7 linked regions of the Nothobranchius furzeri genome follow. The protein of the gene in region 3 interacts with the protein of the main gene of each other region in a pairwise test. Links are inferred from orthologs where the notes say so. Each region holds a gene or a part of one and is shown on either strand. Other genes may lie near its edges. The genes, in order: sox2, atf2, sumo1, toporsa, etv6, ark2n and sall1a.

Region 1 (4,071 bases), on a different chromosome or scaffold from region 3:
GCCGCTTGGAAAACTGGGATTTATAGGAGCAAAACACAAACAAGCAGTGAAACAACACGGAAATACTGGGAAAATTATTTAAAAATGAAAATCCTGCTCAGTTGTGTCACTAAATAAAAATAGTGCCCCAGTCCAAAAAAGGCCCCCCACATACCAATTATTAGCATTTTTAAACGTATTAAGATGAAATGTTTGCCTCAACGTTTTCCTCTTTTTATATCAAAGAAGAGAAATGACAGTCTGTACCTGGGAATGTTGGGAATTTTTGCTGGAAAAACCTCTCCAGGCAACAAACTTTGTCTTTGAGGACCAGCGGGAACTGGAAGAAAGAAACGTGGTTAACCTCGACGCACAGGCTGGGAATAAAGGAGGAGCGTCCCCCCAGAAAGCTGCTGTTGTTCTCAAAAGGCAGAAATCACCCGAAAGATGCCAAATAAAAAGACGGGATGAAAAAAAAACACTCAACACACGAATTATTCAACGTGACAGAAACTGAATCAAAACTCAAACTATTTCAAGTATCCAAATTTCCAAAATTTATTCATTTCAAACCGCATATTGAAAAAAAATATACTCAGCTGAAACTGTAACTGTTATAAGGATGGTATTAGTCTGGGGGTATTTACATGGAGTGCGTGGCTTCTGCGTACAGGCCACGAGTTTCAAAATACAACTACGGGAATGAGCTTTGAAATAAAAACTTCAAATGTCACAGTAAATATACAGAAATTGTACAAATCAATAAAAAAAATAAAGAGCACAAGCGTCATGTCCGCTAAATGATGAAAAGTGGGAGACGGAAATATAAATTAACTAGCTAAAAATTTAAGTTGCATGACAGAAAAAATTGTCTCACGTTTGTTTCTCAAAGAAATAAAAGAAAAGTTTAGTAACGTTGACCTTAAATGGAGAAAAAACTGAAAAGAATAACAGTTTTACCTGCTTCTTATGTCCCTTTTCATTCCAGTGTTTGCAGTAATTCTAACTGATAAAAATTCCAATTCTGCAGTTTTTATTCATTCATCTTTTCTGCAGAACTGGCGCCGCTTTATATAAAAAACGAAAAGAAAGATGCAACCTCTTGCAGTTTAGCAATTCCCTCTGATTGTAATGTTTCTTTGATAAATACTGTACAAAAGGTGATTGCAATAATAAAACATCTGATTGCGACTCCCACTTTCTAGATTTCCAAACTCCATCCACCATTTTAGAGGGGGGGGGGGGGTCTCCTATCGTTCCTCTAGAGCATCTTCAGAATAAAATAAAAAATAAAATTAATTTTAAAAGAAACAGTGGAGTCCTTTTTTCCTGGAAACTTCTATACAACTTTTCCCACCCCAAATTTTTCTGTACAAAAATAGTCCAGCGTCTATAGTCCGCAGTTTCTCTTATAAAAGTTCTTTTGCTCTGTCTCACTCTCTCTCTCTCTGTCTGTCTGTCTCTCTCTCACATGTGTGTTAACGGCAGCGTGCCGTTGATCGTCGTCCCGGGCACGGCGCTCTGGTAGTGGCCGGACATGTGTAGCCTGGTCTGGGCGCTCTGGTCACTGACCTCGGCCCCGGGCAGGTACATGCTGATCATGTCCCTCAGGTCCCCGCTTTGGCAGCCAGGAGCGGCCCGGTGGGACGAGGAGGTGACAACGGGCGGACTGGAGCTGCTGGACTCGGACTTGACCACCGAGGAGGGCCCCATGGAGCCCAGGGTGGTCATCCCCGGCGTGGTTTGCTGGGAGTAGGACATGGAGTAGGTGGGGGAGCCGTTCATGTAGGTCTGGGAGCTGGTCATGGAGTTGTACTGCAGGGCGCTCATGTCGTAGCGGTGCATGGACTGCATCTGGCTCGGGTTGTGCGCGTTCAGACCCGGGTGCTGGTAGCTCAGCTGGTCCTGCATCATGCCGTAGCCACCGTTGGTCCAGCCGTTCATGTGCGCTGCGTAACTGTCCATGCGCTGGTTCACTCCACCGCCCAGTCCGGCCCCCACCCCGACACCGACTCCAGTGCCCATCCCGTTTCCTCCAGGAGCCAGCAGCCCGCCGGGCAAGGTGTACTTGTCCTTCTTCATGAGGGTCTTGGTTTTCCGCCGGGGCCGGTATTTGTAATCCGGATGCTCCTTCATGTGCAGGGCCCTCAGCCTCTTGGCTTCATCGATGAAAGGTCTTTTCTCGCTCTCCGACAGGAGCTTCCACTCTGCTCCCAGCCGCTTGCTGATTTCGGAGTTGTGCATTTTGGGGTTTTCTTGCGCCATCTTCCTCCTCTGGCCCCGGGACCACACCATGAACGCGTTCATGGGTCTCTTGACCCGCTCCGGACTGTTTTTCTGGTTGGTGCCGTTCCCCGTGGTGTTGGTGTTTCCCGTGCCCCCCGTGTTGGTCTGGGGAGCTGGGGGCTTCAGTTCAGTCTCCATCATGTTATACATCAGGAACAGCTTTGAGTCGGTGCTTCCAAGCCGACGAATGGAGGACGAAAAAAAAAGAGGAAGAAAGAAAAAGAAACAGAAACTCCAGGAGCCGGAGGCAGCGAGGAGCGCAGCGGCTGAAAGTTACCTGTCGGGTTGCTCTGCAACTTTTCTCTGGACAAAAACAAGCATCAAGCCGCGTCTCCACACACTCTCCCTTCTCTCTTCCGTCCCCCGAGTGTGCGTGTGTGTGTGTGTGTGAGAGAGTGTGTGTGGACAGAGAGCCTTCTCCCAATAGGTCCCTGCTATGTCGTGTCCACAAAACTTCTCTCGCTTCCTCCAAAAAGCATCAACAAACTGTACTTTTGCGCCTCTGCCCGCCTGAGCCTTGACAACTCCTGATAGTTTTTGAACAAGTTAATAGACAACCATGTCATGGCTGTCATCGAATAAATGGCTTCGACCTGGCCAATCAGAGCAGGCCTTCCCCACTGACACACCAATGGGAGGCCCTAATTAGCATAAAGAGGCGGGGCCTGTCTGCTCCGGAGCTTACGGGCATACTCTCACTCTCAGGCTGCCCTATGAGCCAAACACAGAGTACACATGTACTATGAGCATTATTGTTTCTCATTGCTGTCCGTATAGAAGCTCATTTGCGAGTGTTTTTATTTATGAAGAGTAAAACTGTGACGCCGAACTTGATAGGACGTTTATAAATAAATAAAAAGTTTTTTTTCTTGAACAGGTAGCACGTGCAAATGATGAAAGAATTCCTCAAAATTAATAAAACGACCCAAAAAAAATGACAATTATCTTATATTCAGCTGTGGCTGAGTTAGAAAGTTTTAATCCAGACATAATAATCTAATGTTTAGGTGGTGAAATGAAGGCAAATAGGCGGAAATATCTTTTAATAAGAAATACAATAATCAACTGGTGACGTTATTCAAACCGGAAACTGTTTTTTTTTCTGACTGAAGGCATGACCTTGTGTCAGTGTTAGAGAATAATCAAAAAAGTTACTAACACCCCCCCCCCTCCACACACACACACACACACACACACACAATCGGGCCCAACAGCACAACAAGACTTAAGTAAACGTTGTTAGTTAACTCAAAAGCCCTGTGTGTGTGTGTGTGGGGGGGGGGGGGGGGGGCTGGTTTTGGGTGTTGAAAGGAGGAAAGGTAATCCAAGATGTCTGCCTCCCCACCTAAAGCTTTTGTTTTGGGAAGTTGAATGCCAACACACACAAGGCAGACGGGCTCATCTCATCAGCACAAATAAGCGCGTTTTGTTTGGGATGTTGTCGCTACATCTGTCCGGACAAAGCCCCAACTCCACTCCACTGATGCTGCTGCTGCTGCTGGGGGCTTGCAGGCGGCTTAGACCCGTTGTCTAAAAGGGAGGGCTAATAAAAGGACATGAGTGTTTCTAGATTCATGTGAAAACACAACCAAGCGCGTGAGGGAGTCAGAAAAGCAGCGGCCTCTACCTGCTTCAGTTCTGATCAAACTCAGATTAATGCGACATGAGATTCTCCACAAAGGCAACACACTCTCAGAAAGCTCAACAGTCCAACACGAGCAAACTTCTGGAGTCTGCAGCGCTTGGTGCCACTTGTTTCTATTCTGACTGTCCACCTCGCGGCTTTGGCGCAGTGCTGCGTGACAC
Region 2 (4,274 bases), on a different chromosome or scaffold from region 3:
TTTACTCCGTCACTGTAGCTCATATAAAGGCTAGCAATTAGATTTTTCAATTTGCCGACCATTAGGGTTCAGCGATGGGATGAATTATTCGACCATCGGCGACGGGCTGAGCTGTTATGGTTGTTTTTATAAGAAGCAATTTGTTCATTTATTTGTTTGACCAAGCGTAAGTTTGTTAATGACAGATATTTTACACGTTACGCACAGAGAACATCGCGGAGATAAAAAAAAGAAAAGATCTCCATCAACAAAACATCTGAGCATTATCTTTCACCTTCTCCGCCTCTCGCTGCTGACAGTGTCCGCAAGCGGCACGCTGAAGAGGAGCTGGGAGAGCGTCTGTGACGCACTCGACATTGTGCGCAAGAGCGCACTGTCAAGTGGAAGCCCTTCTATCTTTCATAGTCAGGTAGACTTCTGGTTATTTTATTTGGAGAAATGTTTCCTCATTTTAAAACTGTGGCTTAAGTAGTGCTCGTTATTCAGCACCCGCTTCAAGTGTGTCAGCATAGTGAGGATTAATCCAGAACAACATTTAAACAGCCACGAGTCTGAGGCAAACGTCCAGAACCTCATAACCTCTTCAGCAAGCATCATGCAGATATTGGATTACGCACAAGCTGCAGGTGACCAGTTCAGGTTTACGTGGAGCAGAAGGAATGTGCGTTTGGGGCTGCAGCAAGTGAAATGTTCCTAATTTAAGTGAAATTATTTATTTGTATTATATGTTACTGGGGCACTCAGATCAGCTTGTTTGGATTACATTTTAATTAAGAATGAATGGAAATTGAATGATTATTATTTAAAAAATGAAATTTGTCTGCATACACTCCATTCTGCAATCACACATGGGTAAAAATAAAAGGTTATAGGTGATGATGTTACACATGACTATTACCAGAGTTATTTTACTATATATTCTATTCACACTATTGTTTGGGTTATGAGGGTATGTTTTCCATGTAAACAAACTGATGTTCACATTTCACTTTAACATTTCTTTAGTAAAAGAAATAGCTTCTGGAGATACACACAACCACACACACCTGCTCTCAAAATTCACCCTCTGATGAACGACAAAAAGCTATAAGTTTAATATAAACCTAACAACATGGCTGCATGTTCAAATGATCATACATATACTGCTGTGATGGCTATTTCAGTGCCCACGATCATTTTAACAATTTTGTCAGATTTTGAGGATATAAGAATGGAAGTTTTTTTTTTTTGACAAGTGTTTTGGTAAAGCTTTTATGCATTGAGTCATGAATCAATTAGATAAAACTCTTACATCAAACTTAAGTCATATTTTGCGAAATAACCTTGAACAATGATGCTTCAAAGAGTCTTTTATCAGTTTAATTTCAAAGAAGTTCTCAAAATCGGATTGCTTACCTGTCCACACCCAGGAGCAGTGCATTGGAAGGGTTTGTCATCACTCATATTAAGGAGTTCCTGTAACTTCTCCCTAAAATAATACAAAAAACACTTTTAACCTGAACATCTGCATTATATATATATATATATATTTTTTTTTAATGAACTGATGATCTATGAAGATGCAGAGCAACTCTTCCTATAATAAATATTTCTACTCCGATTCAGAGATGATAATATGTAAACACATGCTGGTTTAGTTATGATAAAAGTTAAAACTCCAGCTGGGGTCAGGTGAACGTTTTGGACAAAGACCATCGATAAGGGGCGGTTTCTGTAGTTGTTTACACCTCGGTGCTCTTATAAAAAACGTTTAGATACACTGCTCCAGACAAAGCACGGAGATATGTTTTAAGAGAACCGCATGTCTATTTTTACATATATCACAAAACAACTAAAGAATATATTTACAGCTAAAAGGATGAGCTACAATCCAGTCGCTTCCATGAATTAGCCTGAGCCTTGCGTTAACATAACCGTCGCCATATTTGAACACGCACGTAACGCTGTAAACAAAAGAGCTGTCAACTACTATTTCGGCTCCTGTTTTGTTACACCAAACAGAAACAGCTCACATTGCCACAAATTAGGTATATTTACCAAAGATTCGTACACAGTCGCTAGCGGTTTGAGTTGACACCTACCCCTTAGCCACAACCCTTGATTTCCAAAATCCCACGTTTTTTTCCCCAAGTATCGCGATAACAGATATTCGTTAAATGCCACATCCACAAACGATTGGGGATAATTCATTGGAGTCAAAAAAAGTATGAGAAAATAAATTACGGACCAATGTTATAAACTATTCTAACATAACGTAACTCAATTGTTTTTAGAGGAAAACAAAAACTAATATAGTCTTAAAGCGCTTAGCACACATAATTTGCATATTCAAGCAGACTGCCTTCTTCACACAAATGTAAACTTTAAAAAAATCAAATGCTAGGAGTGATGTATAAGCTCTTACAATTTAGATGTATTTAATGTTACAGAAACGCTTCAATTTGTTTGTAGCAATGATTGCTAGGCAATCCACCCACTTGAGATCCCTTGTGATTCTGTACCAGGCAGTCATCAACTTACCAGCTGCAGACAGATCTGTTTGAAGAATAAAGGCAGACATTCTTTAAAGTGATTCTTTTGAAGTCAGTGTTTAAATTGCACCTGTCTAAAGGTCAATTTAAAATATTCATGTGCCACTCATCTTTAACCCAACATAATTCTATTCTGTCAAAAAAATGAAAGGAAGCCTTTAAGTTTTGCATACAATGATAAAATTTAAAAGATCTGACAGCCAAAGCTTTCATTTAAAGTATTGGCCAATTACTTAATTCTTCCTGTGGGGAAAAAAAACAAACATTTAACACAAGTAAATCATTTGGATTTATTCAGTGCCATTACCATGCCGTTAGATCTCACTTGCTGCACAATTACACACCTATTTAACTGCAGCTTAATGACAAAATAATTCACGTGGACCCCAAAAAGCTCAGAAAACAAGGCTGATTCACTGAAAAGATGACATTCATGAAAGTCAACCCCTTCCTGTTGTGTTGGGTGATGTTTTGGACACAAGCTTCTGCAATCTTGAATAGTCAAAAACATGTATTTTATTCACGTAAGATGTTACATTTGTACAATACATGTTTTGCTGTTTTTGACAGTGTCTGAGAGACTTGAAAAATGTACATTTCTATGACACCAACAAGGAACAATTTTGGTAGCCACAATAAAATATGTAGTCACATCTGTAATTAAAGTGTTGTGGGGCAGTTTTACATAGCAAACAGGATAAGGAAAGCAACCATCAAACAGAAGAGTCCCATAGCTTCAGACAGGGCAAATCCCAGGATGGCATAGGAGAAGAGCTGCTGCTTCAGTGATGGGTTCCTGAGAACAAGAAATTGTTGGTGAATCCAAACAGAAATTGTAAAATTGTTTTAACAATAAATATTTGAAATAATTCAAACAAACCTGGCATAACCAATGATGAGACTACCGAACACAGTCCCAATTCCAGCACCGGACCCAGCGACTCCAACCGTGGCAGCTCCAGCACCAATGAACTTGGCAGCAGTGTCAATGTCCCTGCTGATGGCGCTGGTCTGGAAGCCTCTCAGTGTGACCTGAGTGAGGGGACTTGGTGGCATCACAGAAACAGAGCTCTGCAGCAAAAAAAAAAAAAAAAAAAAAAAAAAAAAGAAGAATAAAAACTTTAACATCACAAGAACCAAATGTGACAATTAGAAACTAAATCTTTGAATACATAAGAGCTAGTCCTCAGACAAAGTTATTACAAGTTACTAAGGCTTTCTAGTTAAAACCCTGTCCATTAGGGCTTCAGACACAGTGCCGATAAAATATAAACTTCAATTGCAATGCTGTGGTTTCAAAAAAAATAATGAGGGTGTGGAAAACATGCTTTCATACCTCTGTTTTAGCTTCAGGCCTGGACAGCACAGAAGCTGACAGGGGTCTGTAAAGAGCCCGGGAACCAGCACGGACCTGCATTAACAATGGACACAAGATTAAACACTTAGCATTGCTTGGATCAAGCTTCACATAGAAGGGTGTGTATTTTAAGTGCCACTCAAGAACACTTTAAGCACACACCGACATAGAAAACTGTGTAAATTAGTCAGAAATTGCACAATATTGATAGATGGGCCGCATGCTGATTGCAGGGTCTCATACTCTTATGTCTGCCACTGGTTAACATGACCTTGGAAGCAGTCAACACTGGACAGCAGATTTTGAACATTTTGAACAATGTCCAAACGGAGAAAGTGAGTTTGTGCATCCCATTATGTCAATAAGAAGTAAGCTGTGTGAGCTAT
Region 3 (4,100 bases):
GCCTGTTAGAAACCTCTAAAATATGTTGAAATTCAAGCATTTAGAAGGATTACAATCACACATATGACGTCTGATGTATACAGGGAAACGTGTTGCATTAAAAAAATCACACACCCTATACGACAAGGCCAAAAGGATTTCTGGATCTTCCACAATGGCTCAAAGAACTTTGGCTCATAATATAAAATAATGTGTTTTCCAAATCTATTTAACTTTAAAAAAAAAAAACAAATGCAGGTTTAGGCAGCATTTCAGTTTTTTAAGGAATAATTGCATTGAATATCCACAACAGTACTTATTTTTACATCTATTTGTGTTTTTTACATCATTTTTAACAAATATCAACATCCAAAGAAAAAATAGTGATACTGTGTACGCACACGTTTGTTTTCTAAATTTTATAACTTAAAGAGCAAGTCACCCCCTACAAGAAACTTACTTCACTCCCTCTTCATGTTTGAAAAATGCAACAAATGCTGTTGCCTGGCAGACCGAGAGGGCGGAGCCACTAACAAATACACACACAGGCTCACAACGGCATTGTGACATCATAAGGACCAGTTTACATCATAGCATACCTCTTAGCCAATAGCGATGGCAGATTTAGATTCTAATGCAGTGCAGGGTTTTTACCTGACAACGGCACAACACTGACAGTTTTAGGCAGAAAATTACAATTTGAACTAAAATGCACTAAAGTACAAAACTATTGACTACACGTGTCTGCAGCGTGATTAGACACACTATATAGTTTATCAGAAAAAAAAAGTTGATTTGGGGGTGACTTGCTCTTTAATAGCAGAATCTCTTCAAAAAATATTTACAGAATATGACAAAATATATTTCTGATTATAATCTCAGGGGGAATGTCTGAATCCTGATTTTAATCTCAGAGTTTTGTCTCTTTTTTTTCTCAGAATTCTGAGGGGAAAAACTGGTTTTTCAGTGGCCCAATTCTCTAAAAGAAAAAGAGACATTCAACAAGTTTTTTGTAGTTCATTGTACCAGTTTTTACTGCCTTAGTTTTAGTCTCCTTACACCTACTTAGTCATTCCTGACTGACCACATTATTTCTCTTCTCAATGTTTCATTGATATTATGGTAATTTTCCAGCTTTAGTCTTCAATGTTTTCTTTTTATGTAACCCTAATGTTCATTTGTGTTTTTGTTTTGTCTCTTTATTTATCTTTGGTGTGTTCTTGCTGTGTTTAGTTTCAGATTCCATCTTTCAGTTCTTTTTAAAACACAGAAAAGGTTTATTTACCTGCAACATTTCGTTTGCGGCTGCAAACATCGTCAGGCTGACGCCGATGGTGGCGTCACTTCCTTCGTTTATCCGCGGGCAGCAGAGGACGTTGTCGCCCTCGTCCTCTGCTGCCTGCTCTCCCCTCTCCGATGATGCAGTCCCATGCGCGATCCAACGAGTAAACTCCATCAACTCTGTTCATGGACCCACATCCATGTCTCCTTATCTCTATAGCGTCTTTTATCCATCTTTTGTTTTTCTGTTGTTTGGTGTTTATGATCCTTGTGTTGTCCCAGTCCATTATGTGGGATAACACAAGGATCATAAACACCAAACAGAAAAACAAAAGATGGATAAAAGAAGCTATCGAGATAAGGATGTGGGACCATGAACAGAGACGATGGAGTTTACTCATTGGCTCGCGCATGGGACTGCATCATCGGAGAGGGGAGAGCGGGCAGCAGAGGGCGACGATGTCTTCTGCTGCCCGCTAAACGAAGGAAGTGACGCCACCATCGGCGTCAGCCTGACGATGTTTGCAGCCGCAAACGAAACTTTGAAGGTAATGAAACCTTTTCTGTGTTGTAAAAAGAAGTGAAAGATGGAAATTGTCTCTTTATTATAAAGCACATTGAGTTGCCTCTGTGGAGGAAATGTGCTATAAAAATAATGCTGTCTTGTCTAATAAAATTACTTTTTACAGAAGGATTCTGCAACAGCTGTAGTTGTAAATAAGTGTTATTTATTGGGGGGGGGGGGGGGGGGGTTAAGGTTGCAGACCCCTGGCCTAGACTAAGGTAAGCTGCATGCTTCTCTAGCAGCATTTGCGTTGTTTTACAAAAAGTCTAATGATGTAAAATAATTTGAGAAAATGCATAAACAGTAAGAATTGCAGCAGTTAATACCAATCTGGACATAACTACAGCCAGTAAATTCAAACTAAATTACAAAATGAATTTAAAACCATTTAAAAAAATGGTTACATGGAGGGCCGTTATATAAAAAGAGTTAGTGAATCAGTAAATAAGCAGGAATAACCAGACTAAAGCCATCTCACTAGCTGTAATGATATTAAAACCTACCTGACCAATCACTTTTAACTTTATATACTCGCCATCCTTCTTATCGCCGCCGTCTTGACTGGATGGTTTTGTCTCCTTAAAAATAAACAAACAACATAAACAGCACAATACAGACACGCACCCACGTTCAAACAGGCCTGAGTGTTCACTTCGAAGGTTTGTTTAACAAAATCGCTCATCTTTTTGAACGACTTGACTATAAAATATAATAACACGCAGTTTCTGTTGGACATTTTAAAAAATAACAGCAAAATTTTTATCTAAAAGGTCAAAAAAGAGCTGTGTTTTGTGTCCCTGAAGCTACGTTAGCTGGCTAGTAGCATGTTAGATAACCAAACGAGCCTAAAAAAACAATCAATTTGTGCGTCTTCTGAACAGTTCCGACAGAAGATTTGTTGTTTTCCACAAACACTGGGGTCTTACCGTGTCTGACATTTTCTTATTTTCTGTGTTTTGGCTCAAATTTCCTGACAATAGATGTACCTTCAGCTTTCCGCTGCAGCTCTCGTTAGATGTTATGGGAATTCGACATTAGCCGGAAGTGACGAAAAGACGTTTTTTCACAATAAAACTCCCTTCAGATTAGAGAAACAATAGTATTTTTTATATTTTTATGCTGTTGTTGCGCTTCTAATGAAAGCAGTGAACAACAAATATTTTTAAATAATATTTAGATAAAATGTTCAAACTATCAGAAGTAGCAATCATTGTCTAAAAGTAATTATAATCATTTGCTCATGTAAATTCAAACAAATTGCAATGAATAAAAAAGTCTAATAATCATTATTACTGCATTTATCTGAAAAATCATACAATGAGGCGCACGTTAATATGTTGATCCCATCGCAAGACACAGTTTTAGTGTTATTGATCTGAAGTGAGCGGTGTGTTTAAAATGTGATCAAATTAATTCCATCTTTTAGTTCTTTTTAAAACACAGAAAGATTTTATTTACCTGCAACGTTTCGTTTGCGGCTGCAAAACCCAGGTAAATAAAACCTTTCTGTGTTTAAAAAAACTAAAAGATGGAATTAGAATTTCAACACAGCAAGAACACACCAAAGATAATCAAACGAATTGTTCTTCTTGCAGCAGAATTTTGCTGTTTGGGAATATAAAGTGGTAAAATTATGCGTTGAATGCACATTTACACATAGTGTTTAATGAAACAATTTAAATTTTATCATAACATGACTGGATTTGACTGCAAATAACTGAACTAAATTGGAATTAATAGGGGTCAAGTTAATCACTACTGAATGAACTTGGACCAGCATGTAATCAATTCAATTCAATTCAAAAATACTTTATTAATCCCAGAGGGAAATTGATTGCTGTAGTAGATCAGAATAATAATAATAATCAAGCCATCAAAGATTTGTTGTATATTACAATGGCTGTTGGCAGGACGGATCTCCAGTAGCGGTCAGTGTTGCAGCGAAACTGAAGAAGCCTCTGACTGAAGACACTCTTCCGTTGTCGGACAGTCTTGTGAAGAGAACGCTCAGGGTTGTCCATAATTTTCTTGATTCTCTGGAGAATCCTTCTTTGCATTATCTCCTCCAGCGGTTCCCGAACAGCCGAAACTCTGGCTGAGTCCTTGAAAGGGCTTGGAGTTCCTCCATCTTGTTGACCAGTGATCTCACATTGCCCATTATGATCGATGGAAGAGATGGTTTGAATTTCCTCTCTCTCTGTGTCTCCGTTTTGCTCACGCTCTGCACCCACGCTTCTTGCATTTTAGCTCATTTGGGATTTGTGGCTTCAGTTGA
Region 4 (4,281 bases), on a different chromosome or scaffold from region 3:
AATAGTAGGACTGTCTGTGAGTGTAACGCGTCACGCTACCGTTCTTATCTCGTCTGTAATGGCTGTACGACTGGTAGCTGTGGTCCCCGTCCTTTCTTCTATAAACTGGGCCAGACTTGGAGAAGTCTCTGCCACGGGAGTATGAAGAATCGGTTTCAGCAGACTGAGAACTGAGGCTGCTGTTGGAGTTCTCTGGACTTCTGCTTGAGAGCCTGCGCTCTCTACTTTTTGAATTTCTCCTTTTCCTCCGGTACTCTCGGTCCTTTGGTTTATGCCGATCTTTCACTCTATCTTTGCTGTCGTATCTCCTGTTTTTCTCGTTACTGTTTGGCTTTTTGGATGTTTTGTGCGTTCTGGAGGTTAAAGATCTTTCTTTTGAATCCAACTGACGATGGCGATCTGTTTCTGGGCTTTGTCCCACCTTGACAGAGCCGCTTCTGTGTGAAGCTGCAGGGCTACAACTGGTGAAACGGATGTGATGGGGCGGGAGAGGTGCCTCTTCAGTATCCTCAATCTCAGACTCGTTCGAGTCAGAGGAGAGGTGAACCAGCTCAGGAGTCCTCTCTGCTGTCGGTTTGACAAACCCTATGATGACACAGTCCTCGCTGTCAGAAGACACACGGTCTTCCTCGTTGCGGTTACTCTGAGGCACGCCAGCTGGGTTATGTGAGCTCTGCCGGTGTGGAGAAGCCTCAAACTCTTGCATCTCCTCCTCTGAACTAATATCTGAGTCCAAGTTCAAAGGTGTCATCGCTGTTGCTTCTCTCTGCTCGGCTGAAGTGGAATATGACGGTCCAGGCGTCTCGTCGTCCCACAGAGAGTGGCTAAGAGAAGTAGGTTCCCCTGGGGGATCCACTTCTGCAAAGGTATCCTCATCCTCCGAGATAGCAATCACAGATGAGTTGGAGCTGCTGCCTTCGTTTCCGGAGGGGGCGGGGCAGTCATAGACTGCATGTTGGTCATAGGCCTCCATATTGAAGGGGGATTTTGCAAAGCTGAGGAACTCGTGTAGAAAGTGCTCGGTTCGACCTTGCAGGAATGGTCTGAGCTCTCCCTGGATCGCTCCATCCTCCATATCATAACGCGTAATGCGTGACATGATGATGTGCTGAACTATATTGACCAAAGAGCCATGGGCCCCGTACAAAACCATCAGTTCTCTCTTCAGCCAGGGGACCAGTCTGTGCAGGCAGGCTGGATTTCTTCGATAAAACTCAGCAGAGGTGTTTCGGGACCGACCGCCATCTTTCACGCTCTGAACCCTCACACCCCGTCGGTACAGTTCCCTCCTGAAGTTTATCATCTCTTGCTCTCTGACACTGTTCACCGCCCTGCCTTCCCTCGCAGCTCGCCTCTTGGCTTCCAACCTCGTCATCATGCGTCGAATGTAATGATCTCGGTGCTGCTCCAGGGTCGGGCGTGTCGCGGCTTCGAACATGACTCCGTTGTCTGGAGGAGGAGAGGTTCGTCTCGTTGCTCGAACTCCAGTGAAAGTTGTTCGGTATCTGAACCGCACTCCCTCAAAATAGCCAAAAGAGGCATTCTCCACCTGCTGTTTGATTTCATACCTCTGAAAGTCTTGATCTGACTTCACGCTGTGATAGATTGACCTAAACGGCTGTTTGCAGAGCGGACATTCGGCCTTGTTTTTGGACCACTCCAAGATACAGCGAAAACAGAACTTGTGCAGGCAGCGGTCCAAGTGGGAAATGTTGTTGAATCTGTCCAAGCAAATGGGGCACTTGGAGTCTGGCGATGCCTCTCCAGACATCGCTTTAGAGTTTTTACCTCTGGCACTGTTCTGGTTGTGTTGCAGGGCAATCTGGACTGCAGACATGATCTAATGTGGAGAGAAGAAAAAGCTGGAGTGATCTTCAAAATACAAGCTCTTACTTTAAACACCAATAAAGCCAACCTAAGCAGGCTGATTGAATAAAACGCAGTAACTAGAACAGCAAAAATATATAAACCGCTTTCCATCTATGATTAAATTATGGAATTTATTTTATGTTTGAATCATTTATTCACTAAGTTCACAGGGCTGGTGTTATTACAGATTTACATAGATCTTAGTAATAAACAATGGAAAAAGTTGTTGATTAAAATAAACTATGAAACTTTTAAAGACTTGGCTTTTTAAACTTGCTTTGCCTTATTTTATTTATAATTGTTGCTTGTTTATTTCCTCGTATTTTCTATTTTTACTGTGAAGCACTTCGTGATTTTTTTCTGCGAAAAGTGCGATGCATTTAAAAGTTACGTTTCTGCCCCATTATGAAAATATGAAAATGAACACAAACAATTCTCGTTAACCTGAACAGATTTCTACTCTAGAGGACATTTATCACCGTCACAGCCCATATTTTGTCTTTTAAGGAGCTGTAACTTTTGGTTGTCTTTCAAATAAGTCAAAACTAACTAAACGGGACAATCAGAAAGACAACCTAAAAAGACATGGCTCTTATATTTGGCAAGATAATAGAAACGCAAGAAAACGTATTAAATATGTCTTTCGGCACATTTGTTGTGTGTTTTAGTGAATGCTGACGTTGTTACGATCCCGTTTTGATTTGATGAAAATTTAATGTTGGATTAGTTTGAAAACATAAACAACCTCAACAAATAGTCATAAAAATATTCTTATTCGCAGAACAAAGCTAACTGTAGATTATAGCTGGGTTTTTGGTTGAAGCTAGCACAAGGTGGCTACGTTAGCTAGCACGGTGCCGTTAAAGTTATGACACGACGGCAAGGAGTCCGTTAATGAGTTGTAAGATATTTACCTGCGACTTTGACAAACACACATACACACCACTGGCAACGAATTAGGAGTTTCCTTCATGAATAAATCCACTTTTTAGTAAACATCTGTCAGCTAGCGTTTCACCTCCTTTCCACCGGTTTCATAATTTCAACGTTCGAACACTTCCGCTCTTCAAAATAAGAGCACTTCTTTAGACACTTCCGGTTTTATTTATAACTCAAGTGAAAAAGTTCCACTAAAACCAGGCTTTGAGGATGTCTGTAAGACTACAATAACTAACAGTGTGATTTGATCTAGCATGAATGGAATTGAGACCGTTTAAAGACTATAAAACCTAAGATGCAAATTAATCCAATTCAATCACGATCAGTAAAAAACATGATTACAATTAAACAACTTTTCAGGTTCACACACACGAGGAGGGGGGTGAGTACTAACTGCGCAGAAAAGGTGCAGCAGCAGTTTCGACCTGCGAGTGTCTCTCTGCGAGGTAACGGTGCTAATTGCGACACCTCATAAACTGATTTATGACCGCCTCATAAACACCAATCATGTTAAAATGTTCATGCAACATAATAATTTAAAAACCTATTAAAAAGAAAAGCTACACAAAACTAAATCTTATCATGAGCACAAAGTCCTGGAATAAATGATGAAATTCTTCCAGTTAAAACCCAACACCACACTCATTACAGTCAGACATGAAGAATTTTGTAATATTTTATTGTAATATACAGTTTTTACAACAGAAAAACAAAAAAATTAATCACATTTTTTTTTATTTAGTGATGGCCATGGATCTCTGGGAGATCAGGTAACACTTCGCCAGTCTCCAGAATGGTGTCACCCTGTAAGAAAGGTCAATTAAACATCTCAGACAGCAAGTCAATGACGTCAGTGGTAGACAATGATTGTACCACATAAACAGAAAACAGCTAATTAAAATAACACACGTGTATTATTCAGAACTAGTATATATGCTATACTCACAGGTAAAAGCTTGGGTTTCGTCTCCACAATCCCATATGGTTTTGTCTGTGGAGAAAATGTACCTTTTAGCTAGTAATCCTACTGATCACACAAATTAAACTTGAATCCATAAACTGAGTGAGACTGTCTGATTATAGCCAAGAAACAACTGAAGACACAGGAAAAAGTCTAGTCCTATCCTGCTTAATGGATGAGTGAAAACCAGGTGGAGAAACGTGCTACAAACACTGCAAAACTTTTGGGGAAACTTACAGCAACGTGATATTTCACATAGTAGTGAACAATCCAGCCAGGCAGGAGCAGACGTGTGATTGTGAAAACTCCACCTTTGTATGCTTTGTAGGTCTGCAAGAAAACAAACAAAAAGTTATAGAAGCATGTTTAACTGAAACTAAAAAAATGTTCTCATCACAGATCGGATTTTCCATCCACTTTTAGATTAAATTCAATATTTAATTAATAACATTTAAAGTTTTAAGCAAACTGGAGTTATTTAACCAGTCTTCTCTTAATTCACGCGCCAGTTG
Region 5 (4,197 bases), on a different chromosome or scaffold from region 3:
TATTGGCCCCCCCGGAATGGCTTGCTTGTGAGATCACAAAATCCCTCAAGACTCCCAGCATCCTCCTCACTTAACTCGCGAGATCACAAAACCCCTCAAGTTTATGCCACCTAAAAGTAGGACATCACGTTTGATATCGCTGTTTGATGTCATATAATGTTGCTCCTCTCCACTGCCTGGATTAAAGCCATGAAAAAAATCACAGCTGCACTTCTGGAACAATGCTGGAAGTAAATGAGCCGTTAGGTCACTCGTATTGACGTAATCTACATGTGAAATTGCATCGCTGCAATAGTCTTTTATTTTGCTGGTGAAGGTTCTTGTCATCCATTTAATCCAAAAGGGTTCAAATGAAGGCAACTGATCTTTTATTTTGAAAATTACCGGGGGTTTTACACTGAACCTGTATGTAAGGCCTTTTAACTGCGGAAATTGTCGTGTCCCAAAAGCGGCACGCGGCAAAAATAGAGCTCGATCCTGTCTTTAGCAGCATGGTTTGCTGCTACTTCTCCTGCCTGAAAATGCCCACGTCACGGCTGGTTTTAATCACCCTTAAAGACAATAATGGATTCTAATTTTACGCAGCGCTGTTCCACGCCGCTGATGCTTCCAGTATGAAGTAGGGGTGAGAGATAGAGAGAAGCTCCACCATCCCTCGTTGCTCCCTGAGATGGTTTGGGCATCTAATTAGAATACATCTTGGTTGCCTTCCCTAGAAGTTTTCCAGGTAAGTCCCACTGGGATACTCCATGGCAGACTTGCCAGAGGGGTTGCATTGCCCTCAGAAAAGGATGGTTAGAGGATGTAGTAAGGGATGTTTGAGACTGCAACCTGCCCTTGGATAAGTTGAAGAAAATGGATTTATGAACTTCAAGAGCATTAGAAGGAATTTGTGGAATGCTTTAAATGATGCGTTTTGCACCATGCCTGTATTTGCCTTTGCATGCTTCAGAGGTTGGTCCAATTTAAAACAAGCTTGTGGCTTTTCAATGTTATCTCCTATAGGTCCCTAATGCAGTCGTGCCCACCAGGCACACTCAGCTCCGAGACTGGGCTAAAGGGTGACACTACACCCACACCAAGGTCAAAACATTCCTCTAGTCTAGTCTGTACTTGAGCTTTTAAATTACTCGGGATGGAAACAAATTTCAAAGTTGCACAGGCATTAAAGCAAACAGTTTGCAATATCATCTCAAGTTTTGTTTCTTAATCAATAAACTGGTTTATGCATTGTTTCAACAGCTTCTAATTTGCTGCTGAATTGCAGAAAAAAATAACCCGTGGTGGTTAAGCCTATTGTGTAGTTGCCTTAAGCATTGATTAAAAAAATAAATAGAAAGCAGTCTATGTTTGTATTTGTGTGTCTGTTTGTAGCTGTGTGCAAAGCGAACTTCTGCGATTTCCTGCTTCGGGTTTCCCTTTAAAAGGGGGCAAGGCTCATTGCTGGGAATTCACGTCATTTCGCCGTTTTACACACATCCAGATCAATGAGAGACACACACACACATAGCGAGAGGGGTGTCTCGCTCTTCCAGGAAGGGATTATTAACCAGCGACATGTGAAGGAAAAACACACACACGCGCGCGCACACACGTAGACAAAAGAAGTTTTCACACCGACGAGCCACGCCATGGATCCGGACCGCAAACCTTGAACAAAAAAGGGAAAAGAAGCGGGCTACATGAGAAAAACAACTTCTTCTCCCAGAACAAGGAGCCGAGCAGTCGGTGCGCGGCTTTCGCTGCTGCAGCTGTGCGGGTTTGCGTGAGCGGAGCGGAGAAAGAAGAGTGCACGACGGAAAAGTGGAAGGAGAAGGGAGAGAAGTTGACGGGAGATCATGTCCGAATCCTCCTCCGCTGCGGTAAAGGTAACACCCCCGGCTACGCCGAGCTCTCTCCTCCGTGCTGCCTTCGGTGGCGCTCGGCTGGAGCAGCAGTTTGTTTTGGTCATCTGTTGCTCGCGCCGCGGCGGTTCGCACGCGCTCAGCTCGCCTCCACTCGCGGAGGATGACGGGAAGAAGTCGTGACTGGTAACTGGTTTACCAACAGCTGAAAGTGTTCGTGTCCGTGCGGGGCATCGGTGCGGGGGAAGGAGGGAGCGTGCTGGAACAAGAACACACACATTTACTCAGACAGATTTCAACCCAACAAAAGGTAGCCGCTCTTCTCCACTCCGGTTTAGTTTAGCTTAACTTTAGCCTAGCCAGCTGTCCAAAATAAACAAACCAGCCACTAGCCGAGTGGTGACATGTGTCATCGAAGTGATGAAAAATCAAGAATCAGAATGTTGTTTAGTATCTCGGCTGGGGCATGTAAATAATGTTTGCGATGTTGCAGTCTGACCAATCTTTTCACTGATCAGTAATTAAAACAACCCATAGCAGTGGGGTGCCTTTGGCCAAGTAAACCATAACACTACTACTTAGCATTGTAGCAGCTACCATTAGTCTTATTTAGTATAACTTATTTAGCCACAATTAGTATTGTAGCTTCTAAAATTAACCACTTAATTTAGCAGCCTCATTTAGTAACTCAGCAGCTTTGTTTTATTGACCGTAACAGCTACATTTGGTCGCATTCAGGTTCTCATTCCAGTAAAAAACAGGTGTAAGCGTCTAATCATTTTAATAAAATATATTAATAAAAAATAATATAAAATCTGAATGCATAACAATGTCCAACTTGTACATTTTAAAGTTACTTTAAAACATCAAATGCTAATGTGGTCTTTTAATTATTTAATAATAATAATAATAATAATAATAATTCCTTTATGATAATTCAGACTGCTGCAGAACAGAAATAGCTTACCTATATTAATAACTAACGATGAAGTAACAATTTCCACGTTAAAAACTTTGTTCAAAACCAAATTTATTTGTAGATTTCAACATTCAGGACTACCTTTATATGTTTAGGTTAGATTCGAAATATTCTGATTTAACTTTATTTTGAATTTTAATTCATTTCAACTTTTAGTTTGAAGCTGCTATGGGCCATTAGACTTCCACAGGGCGCTAAACTTGAACTGCGAGGATCTTCGTGCTTGATTCTTACTTCTGTTTACCATCACTTAACTTTTATTTAGTGTGGCGAAACCTGTCAGACAAGATTGTTAAAGATCTCAATTTATTCCTGTGGAGTTTCGCTTATTTCATTAACTCTGCTTTCAGGTTTCTTATCAGATCGGGTTCTGATTGGGACCTTTATGATGATGGAAATGTTTATCATCAGCTTCAAATATGTGAAAGTAGTGCCAAGCTGTTGAGTGACTCAAAATGAATTGTCGTGTTTATGTTGGATTCAAATGACTGAGGCAGCTGTAAGTGCAGGGCTGCTGATCAATGATCAGTATTTGACTCTGAGAAGTACCACCTACAGCAGCGATAGCAAGGACAGCTCCACTTCACCTTTAGACATCAGTCCTTACTTCTGCTTGTCCTCTCAAAGTGACCCAGCTGAAGAGCTGCTTGATGGCTGAATCTTGAGTGAAGGGAAAGACAGAGAAGGGGCCTTTGTGCAGTTAAAGGAGGAAATAGGGGACTGAAAGATTACTGGTTGGCTTCCACGGGAAATTCCTGGTACACAGTCTGTTGGTATGCATGTCTCAAAGTGGCAAGCTGAAACTGGAGGGAAAAACAAAAACAAAGAAAAAAAACACCAAGAAAAATTTAGTGGTTTCTTCATTTGTAGGAAAAGAAATCTGTTAAGAGAGAAGGACTGCTAAGTAAATGCATAAATCAGATGTTTTAGGTGTTTGTGCTCAGAGCATCTTCGGGCAAGTGTTTATCATTATCTCTTTAGCACCTTTAAATTTGGTGTCAAATAGGGCTGCACAATATATCGAAAAATTATCGTCATTGCAATAACAGGACGTGCGATAGGCCAATCACAAAGCACGTCAAAATCGGCGATAAATGTTTGGTTCAAACATTTCCATCCGTGTCATACATCAGCTTTTTGTAAACCAGCTGTTTTTTACGCGGAAGTATTATTTGACCAATCAAATGTAGCCCTTCTGATATGTGGCCAATCGGATGGTTCCGTTCACGTAATACGCTTCCCCTTACGTAGACTCTTAGGATGGGTGGAACGCAACACCCGAATTGAGTTAGCGGCGCCGTTCCCTTGTTCGTCATGCCTGCTCAGATTAACGAACGCACTTTGTGCTGAGGTTTCTGGAATCAGCGTTGCTTT
Region 6 (4,398 bases), on a different chromosome or scaffold from region 3:
AGAACCGACTCTGTGGTCAAATGTCACAACATCTCTCTTTAGTGTCCACTTTTCACTGATTTATGTGAAATGTGACCAATAGATCTAAATGTAAATACGTGAAAATGTTTAAAAATTGAGATACTAGGCTTTACCCCTACAGCGACTACATGTAAAACGAATCAACAGAATTTTAAATAAACCAAAACAAACCGTTTATACTAAATCAAATGCAACTGGTACTTCAGTTGGATAAAACTGAAATCTTGAGGTAAAAAATTAAGCTGAAAAGGCCAGATTAAAGTAAATAAAAACATTTCTTTAAACAGCAAAAAAAAAAAAAAAAAAAAAAAAAAACCTGAGCTGAGTAAAACGTGACACCTGAACTCACTCAGGAGACTTGAGAAAAACAAACGATGCAAACAAACAACAAACCCATCCAGACAGTTAAATGAGTTTGCCTCCTGGTGTTTACCAGGGTTGAATGTTTTTATCACCACATCCACTCCCAGATGTGCATCATTAGGCCATTAGACACATGAAAATGCTGCTGAATATATAGAAAACTACAGGAATAAATAAAAGGCCATGTATGGGAAGAGTTCATTATAAAACCAACCCAGGACTTCTGCTAGAATATTTGATAAATAACAGGATATACTAAACTCCAAGCAGTAATTTGGGTGATGTTAATATTTATTCTTTAATTCTCCAATGAGTTAAAAAAAATTGACATGTATGTCTTATATTCTGGACCAACGTGGCCTGCTTCTATCAGTTTAGAGCAGAGATTGGACAGATCCATGACTCACTGGACAAAAAAAAAAAAAAAAAAAAAAAAAAAACAATCACTAAGTAAAAAATGATTATTGATCCATGGGTTGAACAATGACAACTAGAATTCCACAGCATGCAAACTATGAGACACCACAAAAGATGTAAAGTGACGAGTGACAGGACAACTCGGAACAACATTTCTACATTTAAAGACGATGAGAATGGCTATCGATGAATGAGAAATTAACAGGAAAAAGAAAAGGTGGTTGTCAAAAGGAGCACAAATAAAGCCTTGTCCTTATCAGAAAGCACACATTCTTTTATCAAGTTTAACTTTAGGTTTATGTTTGAACTTCTAAATTATACAAGCAATTATACAAGCAATATTATAAAGTAATGCTATTGTTTTCTATGTAAAGTACTGCGCTAGAAGGGTGTGATAAGGTAATGGGAGGTTACCTGGAATATCTGTCTTGATTGTCTTGCTGCCTCCTGAAGTATCATCATCTGAGGAGCTGGTGCTGGAGTCACACGTCAGCTCACTGTCACTGGTACTGCTGTCCTGCAGCAAGTTATACTTCTTCCGTGCTGCCGCCTCTCGTTTCTGCCTCAGCAGGCGCATACGCTCTTTGTGTTTCTGGCTCCGGGGACCTTTAACTTTCGTCAACTTGCCATTGGTTTGTTTCTCCTGCCCAGTCGCTATTGCCGTTGGCTGACAGCGGTTCTTCTTTGCAGCCATTGCAATCGGAGGCATCTCGCTCTCCGAATGCGACCGCCGAGACTTCCTCCCCCCAGAAGCAGTGGCAGATGCTTGTCTTTTTGCCATTTGCCCAGGATCGTTTACAGTTTCCATTCCACCCTCGTGTTCTCCTACAGGGGGAGCTGCCCCTTCTTCCCCTGAAGAAAGCGTGTCTGAGTCAGCCAAGTGTCCACTAGATGAGGGAGAGAGCATGCAAGGATTTGAGGAGTCACTCTCATAAATGTTGCGTGACGCTGGCTTGTCACTCCCTGTAGATGCATGCTGGGACTCGGGGGAGTCTCGGTGGAGCTCCTTCATGAGGCATGGCATAGAGAGGAGACTTTGCTCCCCTTCGGTATTTAAAGGGCTGTCAGCCTCCTTTTCCCTTGGGGGTGAACTAGTACTGGTGGTGGTTTCCGTTTTCAGGTTCTCATCCTGTTCTCCTTGAACAGAAACTATAGCTGATTGTGCTTCATCAAGGCACTCTGGAGGGCATTCAGCATCCAAAAACTCCTCTGCCTTCACTAAATCAGCCATTTTCTCCAGCTGATGAAGCCCAGAGCCCAAAGGTCCAGCCAATTTGGACCAATGTGCCTGGACAAGAACTCACCTGCTAAAGAGAAAAACAAGTTACTAACTCTAGCCAACAGTCAGTTATTTTAAAACTTGCCAGATTTCTGTTAACATAACACATGCAATTTAATTTAAATAGAGGGTTTGACGTCATTTTAAATATCAAACGTCTCACTTTAGCCAAATTTTCTAAAAATGGATTTACTGCTTAATAAAAAACTAAAGTTTTCGTCCCATACTATAATATCAAATAAATCACGCAATAATCCAACACGCATCCAGACAGTGAGTCACGTTTATTAATAACAAAAGGAAATACTAATAAGTTGTGTCCACGGCTAAACAGAAATCCGGCTTGAGCTGCGTAGTGAAGCTTATTTCGGTCATGAATCATAACCTTCGCAAATTTTGCCAAAATAACGCAAGTCGTGAGGAAGAAATGTGGCTTGCAGAGAAGCTGCATTGCAAAATCCTTTAAATGGAAGCAGTATCTACCCAACCACAGTTCTATTAGGCAGGCTCAAGTTAGCGGCTAACAGCTAATGCAGAGGTAGCTCAAGCAGCACTCAGCTGCTGTTAACTCACCACAGCGTCAGTATTTTATTCTTATCACAATGTCGGACATCTGGACATCTTCGGTAATCTTCAGACTGTCTTCGACGAGTTGTATGACCAGCACACCGCTCAAATCACTAACTATTTACAGTTTAAATAAAATCCTGCGTGTTTTTGACGTAAGCTGCTCGCAGGTTCGCAAGCTCTGTAACAATTAGCAGTTAGCTTCGGGTTTATTTAAAATGTCGCTCACAAAGCTAAACGTACTACTTCCTGTCTCTTTGTCACAATAGAGCGCCCTCTTGAGTCGTATTTTGGTACTACAGTTTTAAATGATTCCTAAAAACTGGTGAATTTATGGATTATAGCAAAAATAAAATATACAGTTTGATTCTAGAACAAGTCTTAGCACAGTGTCCCATGGCTTAACAATAACGTAAAGGCCATTAAAAATGTTGGTTTAATAGTTTATGATATAATGAATTTGATGATTTTCCATAATAAAAGCTCTAAAATAATCAAAATGTCTATTAGAAGCATTAGAAAACAATAATAATTATTATAACTATATCTACAACAAAATGATGCCAATAAACACTCAGATTGCATCTGTTGTCTGTATTTTGAAGCTCTGTGAGCTAAAATGTATTTTGAAAATATGCGAACAATATCTCGGAATTTATGCTATTTGTGAGTCACATAGAATCCATTTGTTGCTCTGCCAATACAGCATACTGCTGTTTGTTTTAAAATAGACCACTTTTTCATCTCCACTTAGATGCTGAGAAATGTATGTCCTAGATATTAAATCTGTGTTGGACTCTGTCAAACCCCATTTAGCATTGAAACAGTTATTTGAATCCTCTTTAACAAGCCACTGTGGCATAGTCTGCAAAATATGTTAGAGATTCTTCTTTTACCCGGACCTGTTACACATGCATTTTAAAGGCAAACATCATTGAAAAGGAATTAATTGTCTATCAAAGCCTTACTTACCAGGTTATGAAATATATTGTTGAGTATGTTTAGCTCTTTCAAAAAGGCATGGCTGTGTTAGAGGTTTTTGCAAAATTACCAAAAAATTGTAATTGCATGAAAAAAATTAAAGGCACTGTTTCACTATATGAGTAATGCTTGAACAAAACATTTATTTACTCTTCATATTGGATCAAGATAGAGAACTGAGCAGCTTCTCAGTACAGTTTTAGGGGCCACACCCTGGAGAACGATCTCCTAGGTGTCAATTTTGCTGATTTTTTGTTTCTTGATCATTCGCCATAACACTCTCTCCAGCATTTGACTTCAGCATGCAACAGCAAAATAATTGCTTCAAAAAGGTCTCCTCCTTTGGCTCTCTGAGTATTTTGCTGGAACAAGACAAACCGTTTTCCATGTTTAGGTCTTCCACAGTTGCAGCTGGTTTGACATTAAGGAAAGGGTTGATGTGTTCACAGGTATTTGAATCACTTGACTTGGCTTCCAGCACATTCTTGGAGCAAATGCTTTACTTTCATGAAGACTTAGAGCCCTGCTGGTGCAGGGTTCTGGATCAAGCATGCTGATAAGACTCCAAGGAAGAGCTGCTGAATCTGCTGTAGTCCACGGTGATGAAGGGATGGGCGAGGATCGCGCTCGGCATGATCTTCTCATTTGCATCCCAGTTCAGCATCGCCTTCAGTAACTCAATGCATTCCTTCCTCTCGCCTCATTTGGGTTGTCAATCTCTTGTTTAATCTGATAATTAAACAACACATTAAAATCAATCAAAATAATTG
Region 7 (4,421 bases), on a different chromosome or scaffold from region 3:
TGCGCTCTGATCCATCGGGACGCGTCAGTGATAACAGTGAATGATGGCACCTGGGACACACCGCTCTGATATGGCGCGCGCACGGTATCGATTGCGCGTAAACGGCAAAATGCGCACCTTTTTCTGTGCGTCGAAGCTTCAAACCACCAGAATGAGTCTCTTTTCCTCTCTGACTAACCTAACAGGATAATAAACCTTCTGAGTTTTTCTTTGATTGTTTTAAAAAGTTTCATTTTGATGCCCTTTCGTTCCTCCAGAGCATCTTTTATGAGTTTTAACAAACGAAAAATAAATGATAAAATATTCTATGTGAGGACTTTTCTTTGATCTCTTGACTCCTCCGTGAATCCCGTTTAAAACGTCGCTGCGCCACAAATCAGCCTGTTTACAGTCTCACACCAACACTCACATCAATTAACTCCTCATTGATTTTCCCACTCGGGACACGCACCCCCCTCCCCCCTTTAAACTTTATTTATTTATTTATTTATTTATTTATTTATTTATTTATTTATTTATACTCCTCTTGCTGCATTTAATATTTACACCGGCGCGCGCTTGTCCACTAGTGACCGCCTGGAGATGGACGCAGCGTTCTCTGCACGTCCATCAGCATTTATGAGTTTTAAAACTTCAAATATTTGTAACGATCTTTAGAAAAGTGGGAGGAATTCACTCAGAGGTGTTTGATTTTCCCTTTTTTGCTCTCTCCTGTTTTCATGAATAAGTAAATAGTGAGGCTAGTCGAAACTAAAAGATAGCTGACACGAGAGTGGACCAGATCCATCTAGCCTGCAGCTGCTCTTTAAATATTCAGGGAGAAATAATGGCATCCGAGGCATCACCTATAGTAACATTATTATCTTCATTTCTCAAAATCAGTCCGACTGAGAGCTTCGTTTATCTTTTTCAGGTAATAAATCTACTCCACTCAGCCAAGATCCCGCGGGACCTCTTTGGTCTCTTAAAACATCCACACCAACTCCTGCTGCAGCCCCTAATATAATAATAATAATAATAATAATAATAATAATAATAATAATTATTATTATTATTATTATTATTATTATTATTATTATAAATATCACAGACGTAATGACAATATTCACACACTTCATTTCAGGGTCTAGAATTATCAACATTTCTAAATAATCTGTTTTTTTTTACTATATAGTTTAAAAACCGGAAGTTCATCTTTTAAACATTAATTCGGTGATATTTCTGCCACACGTGGAACTTGTGATTGTTTTTCTGTGTCTAAAAAGTTTATTTAAGTAATTAAAAGCTTTGCTTGTCTCCGTTCAGGTGAGCAGATCCGGTTCTGAGAACCGGGTTCTCTCTGCTGTCTCGTTCCGCTGATCATCATCCCGGCGCGCGCGGCACGTTTGGATCTGCAATCAGACAGAATAGAGAGAGCGCGCGCGAGAGAGAGAGGGGGAGAGATATAGGGAGAAAGAGAGAGGGAGAGGGATGGGGTAGAAGAAGAGGAGATGGAGGGAGGGCTGGAGGTGACTGAGCAGCCCGCTGACCAATCAGGCGCTCGGTGGGCGGGGCTCTGGACTGTCCCACTGCCGCACGGGCCCTGAAAGTTTGTTTATTCGCGGAACGCAGTGCGTGATGAAAACGTGTTAGTCCCTTTTCCCGCTGATAATAATTAAATTCAGTTTTTCTCTAAGAAAAAAAAACTCATCAGAGGGACGCAGATTCACGCGCTCATTCTGGACTTCTGGGAACCGCGCGGTGCCGATTACAGTGCGGACCATGCTCTGTTTTTGCGTGCACCGGACGGAACCGGACCGGCAGCCCCCGTTCTGAAACTCCTCCGACGGAGAGCCGAACCGTTTGAACGCGGCAGCTGATCCGGGACCAGCGAGCTCAACGGGCTGAAAGTTTCCTTGCGCTGGCGGCGGTTTGGGTCGGCACCAGGATCCCCAACCCCGCAGAGAGAACAAGCAAACACTAGACCGATGGAAGACTCGGACTTGAGAAGCTGAAGTGTTCGGGATCAGGATCAGCCCGACCCAAGGGGTTAACCGTGTCTGCAGGGAGCTGGAGGGTCCAGCCTCTCCTCCCGGTCCGGATCAACTCATTGGGTGGGAGCGGAGAGAGAGACAAGAGTCCAGCAAATCAGGAGCTAATTGATTAAAGAGACTTCATTTGAATAGGAGGGGGGCTGGCGAGGTGCCAATCGCCGTTCAAAGCGCCCCCCCCCCCCCCCCCCACCCGCCTCCGCCCCCCACCCTGTATGATTAATCGCACGGCATTATTGATAATCATAACGGGGCACATGCGCGGTGGATGGGCTCCGTTTACGTAATTTTTGAGGAGGTTTAAGTCATTTTTTTATTCTTTGCCTGCTGATGTGCCAGCCAGCATGTCGCGGAGGAAACAAGCGAAGCCGCAGCACTTCCAGTCCGACCCGCTTCTGCCTTCACCGGAACACAATGGTGAGTCCGAGAGCGTTGCTTCTCTTCCCGACCGGCCGGTACCGGACCGGGTTCGGGAGTTTCTCACACTTTCAGTTGAACCCGTGACACTCTGGAGTTATGATTAATATTATTATTAATAACTTTCTGCTTAAACCGGCCGCCTGATGGAAATAGCTGTTACTTTTTAAACAAAGTTCGGTTTTTGTTCTTTTTTTTTTTTTTACTTTTTATTGAAACAAATAGTTTAGAATTAAAATCTATCATTAGTCATGTTAGATTATTATTTTATTTTATTATTAGTCACTGCTCTTGGTAAAAGTTTCAAACTTGTTATTATTATTTTAAAACTAAATAAAAGGCTCGGTGCTCTCCGTCCCAGCAGCGGTCGGTGTCGGTGCGCCGAGGCGGACCTCCGTGTCGCTCCTACCGGGACACGCACGTCTCTTGTCCGTGCCACGCGCTGCAGTCCTGCGCGTTAAGGTCCTCTTCCGTCTGTTACGACAAAGCCTCCCTCTCTCTGTTTGCTTGTTTTGTTTAATTTGTTCGAAAAAAAACAGTTTTTTCTTAAATTTGTGCAAACGTGTTTTTTTTTCTGCCGCATTTTTATTATTTTCAAGCAAAAACAAAAGAAGAGTTTAAAGCACTTTTACGCACAGTCACGTTTGTGTTCTAAAATAAAAAAAAAATTCTAAAACGAAATGAATTCAAACCATAAATAAATAGCGAAGTTTTGCATTTATTTTGTATTAAACTGCAATAACGACTTCCTTCCAAATGAAATAAAACGCGTCTTTCATTTTAGTTTGGCTCAAATTTGAAAAAGGCCTGCAGCCGAACTTTTACCTGTCGCTGCTTCAAAATGTTTTGATGTTCATTTTGATCTGATTTTATTCTGATTTGACAGAATAAAAAAAAAACTCCATTAAACTTTGATTTAATAAATTAAAACACAACCTTACAACGCTGTGCTCGTGTCGACTGGCTTTTACGTGAAAATGTGTCTAAAACATTTAAATTAGCATCCTTCAGTTTAAAAGCCAAACATTAAATAAGTAGATAAGTATTTTCCTGCAGAGCTCCTGTCAGGCCTTTTTAAGTAAATGTTGGAATAACCTGGAAAACGCACGCAGCTCGTTGGGAATGCTGAAGGTACAACAGCAGGTCATGTGATTATTTAGAGACTCTGAGAACTGATGTGTGTGTTTTTCTCTGCATTTTTCTTCAAATCTAATAAAGTTTGTGTGTGTGTGTGTGTGTGTGTGTGTGTGTGTGTGTGTGTGTGTGTGTGTGTGTGTGTGTGTGTGTGTGTGTGTGTGTGTGTGTGATTACAGGACATGTTGTTTAGAGAGTTTGGAGGTATTTTGCTGAAACTGAAGGTTGTGGGATGTAGAAGTGGAACAGAAAGTCATTTGTGTCTGTGCTGAAGTTGTGATGCTGCTGGTGGGAGGTCAGGAGCAGCGCGTGGGGGGGGGGGGGGGATGGGTGGGGGCTGAGCTGTTTTAACCTTTGCCAGTGCCCCTCTGAGTGGAGGCGGTGGGGGTCCAGGGCCCAGCGGGCTCCTGTCGTAGCTGCAGGCGGCCCAGAAGAAGGCCTCGGCCCTGAAGCCTTATCAGTGCCTGTCCCCTCGTGTCCCTATCAGAGTGCCCCCCCCCCCCCCTTTCTCCATAAGAGAAAATGCCGCCCCACCCCCGACACTGTTGTTTCCTTCAAAGAAAGACTTGAGTTGCCTGTCAAGCTGCCAGAGTTTATGTGAGACTAGGTGTGGAGTGAAGGACTCGCTTTGTCTTTTTCCCTCCCCTTTAAGCTTAAACCGTGTCGCCGGGCCAGAGCTGGTGAGATTCCAGTCTTGTCCTGAACCACGGCGGCTTTTAGTGGAACCCCATCTAGTGTTCGGTGGGATGAGTCCAGCAGGGCCGGAGAGGACGTGAGCAGAAACCCTCCTGAAGTTACCAGACGCTCACAGAGGCCCCCTCGGAGAAAAAAACAATGTAG

What was found.
Region 1: the proteins of sumo1 (region 3) and sox2 interact in binary tests that used the Homo sapiens proteins (3 or more experiments, as listed by UniProt). The two-hybrid records come from large-scale screens. The link is inferred for Nothobranchius furzeri from reciprocal best matches to the Homo sapiens genes SUMO1 and SOX2.
Region 2: the proteins of sumo1 (region 3) and atf2 interact in binary tests that used the Homo sapiens proteins (3 or more experiments, as listed by UniProt). The two-hybrid records come from large-scale screens. The link is inferred for Nothobranchius furzeri from reciprocal best matches to the Homo sapiens genes SUMO1 and ATF2.
Region 4: the proteins of sumo1 (region 3) and toporsa interact in a two-hybrid assay, tested with the Homo sapiens proteins (2 studies listed by BioGRID). The link is inferred for Nothobranchius furzeri from reciprocal best matches to the Homo sapiens genes SUMO1 and TOPORS.
Region 5: the proteins of sumo1 (region 3) and etv6 interact in a two-hybrid assay, tested with the Homo sapiens proteins (2 studies listed by BioGRID). The link is inferred for Nothobranchius furzeri from reciprocal best matches to the Homo sapiens genes SUMO1 and ETV6.
Region 6: the proteins of sumo1 (region 3) and ark2n interact in binary tests that used the Homo sapiens proteins (3 or more experiments, as listed by UniProt). The link is inferred for Nothobranchius furzeri from reciprocal best matches to the Homo sapiens genes SUMO1 and ARK2N.
Region 7: the proteins of sumo1 (region 3) and sall1a interact in a two-hybrid assay, tested with the Homo sapiens proteins (2 studies listed by BioGRID, with this or other methods). The link is inferred for Nothobranchius furzeri from reciprocal best matches to the Homo sapiens genes SUMO1 and SALL1.

The regions. Positions count from the first base shown.
Region 1 is NC_091748.1:72,770,810-72,774,880, forward strand, and holds sox2 (transcription factor Sox-2), read right to left. Parts: upstream 2,904-4,071; 5' UTR 2,416-2,903; coding exon 1,447-2,415; 3' UTR 524-1,446; downstream 1-523. UniProt on the Homo sapiens protein: Transcription factor that forms a trimeric complex with OCT4 on DNA and controls the expression of a number of genes involved in embryonic development such as YES1, FGF4, UTF1 and ZFP206. Binds to the proximal enhancer region of NANOG.
Region 2 is NC_091754.1:21,239,872-21,244,145, forward strand, and holds the start of atf2 (cyclic AMP-dependent transcription factor ATF-2), read right to left. Parts: upstream 2,811-4,274; 5' UTR 2,191-2,810; coding exon 2,051-2,190; exon of another isoform or gene 2,038-2,050; intron 2,017-2,037; exon of another isoform or gene 1,849-2,016; intron 1,469-1,848; coding exon 1,396-1,468; intron 1-1,395. Other genes in the region: atp5mc3a (ATP synthase membrane subunit c locus 3a), read right to left, coding at 3,213-3,327, 3,412-3,602, 3,868-3,942. UniProt on the Homo sapiens protein: Transcriptional activator which regulates the transcription of various genes, including those involved in anti-apoptosis, cell growth, and DNA damage response.
Region 3 is NC_091743.1:83,214,227-83,218,326, reverse strand, and holds the start of sumo1 (small ubiquitin-related modifier 1), read right to left. Parts: upstream 2,901-4,100; 5' UTR 2,764-2,900; coding exon 2,752-2,763; intron 2,404-2,751; coding exon 2,329-2,403; intron 1-2,328. UniProt on the Homo sapiens protein: Ubiquitin-like protein that can be covalently attached to proteins as a monomer or a lysine-linked polymer.
Region 4 is NC_091746.1:80,962,427-80,966,707, forward strand, and holds the start of toporsa (topoisomerase I binding, arginine/serine-rich a), read right to left. Parts: upstream 2,923-4,281; 5' UTR 2,784-2,922; intron 1,841-2,783; 5' UTR 1,838-1,840; coding exon 1-1,837. Other genes in the region: ndufb6 (NADH dehydrogenase [ubiquinone] 1 beta subcomplex subunit 6), read right to left, coding at 3,547-3,612, 3,755-3,799, 4,007-4,099. UniProt on the Homo sapiens protein: Functions as an E3 ubiquitin-protein ligase and as an E3 SUMO1-protein ligase. Probable tumor suppressor involved in cell growth, cell proliferation and apoptosis that regulates p53/TP53 stability through ubiquitin-dependent degradation.
Region 5 is NC_091741.1:61,795,124-61,799,320, forward strand, and holds the start of etv6 (transcription factor ETV6), read left to right. Parts: upstream 1-1,299; 5' UTR 1,300-1,838; coding exon 1,839-1,868; intron 1,869-1,887; exon of another isoform or gene 1,888-2,154; intron 2,155-4,197. UniProt on the Homo sapiens protein: Transcriptional repressor; binds to the DNA sequence 5'-CCGGAAGT-3'. Plays a role in hematopoiesis and malignant transformation.
Region 6 is NC_091746.1:60,555,950-60,560,347, reverse strand, and holds the start of ark2n (protein ARK2N), read right to left. Parts: upstream 2,877-4,398; 5' UTR 2,654-2,876; intron 2,109-2,653; exon of another isoform or gene 2,106-2,108; 5' UTR 2,033-2,105; coding exon 1,216-2,032; intron 1-1,215. UniProt on the Homo sapiens protein: AMPK substrate important for exercise capacity and skeletal muscle function.
Region 7 is NC_091749.1:71,173,851-71,178,271, reverse strand, and holds the start of sall1a (sal-like protein 1a), read left to right. Parts: upstream 1-1,588; 5' UTR 1,589-2,374; coding exon 2,375-2,447; intron 2,448-4,100; exon of another isoform or gene 4,101-4,417; intron 4,418-4,421. UniProt on the Homo sapiens protein: Transcriptional repressor involved in organogenesis. Plays an essential role in ureteric bud invasion during kidney development.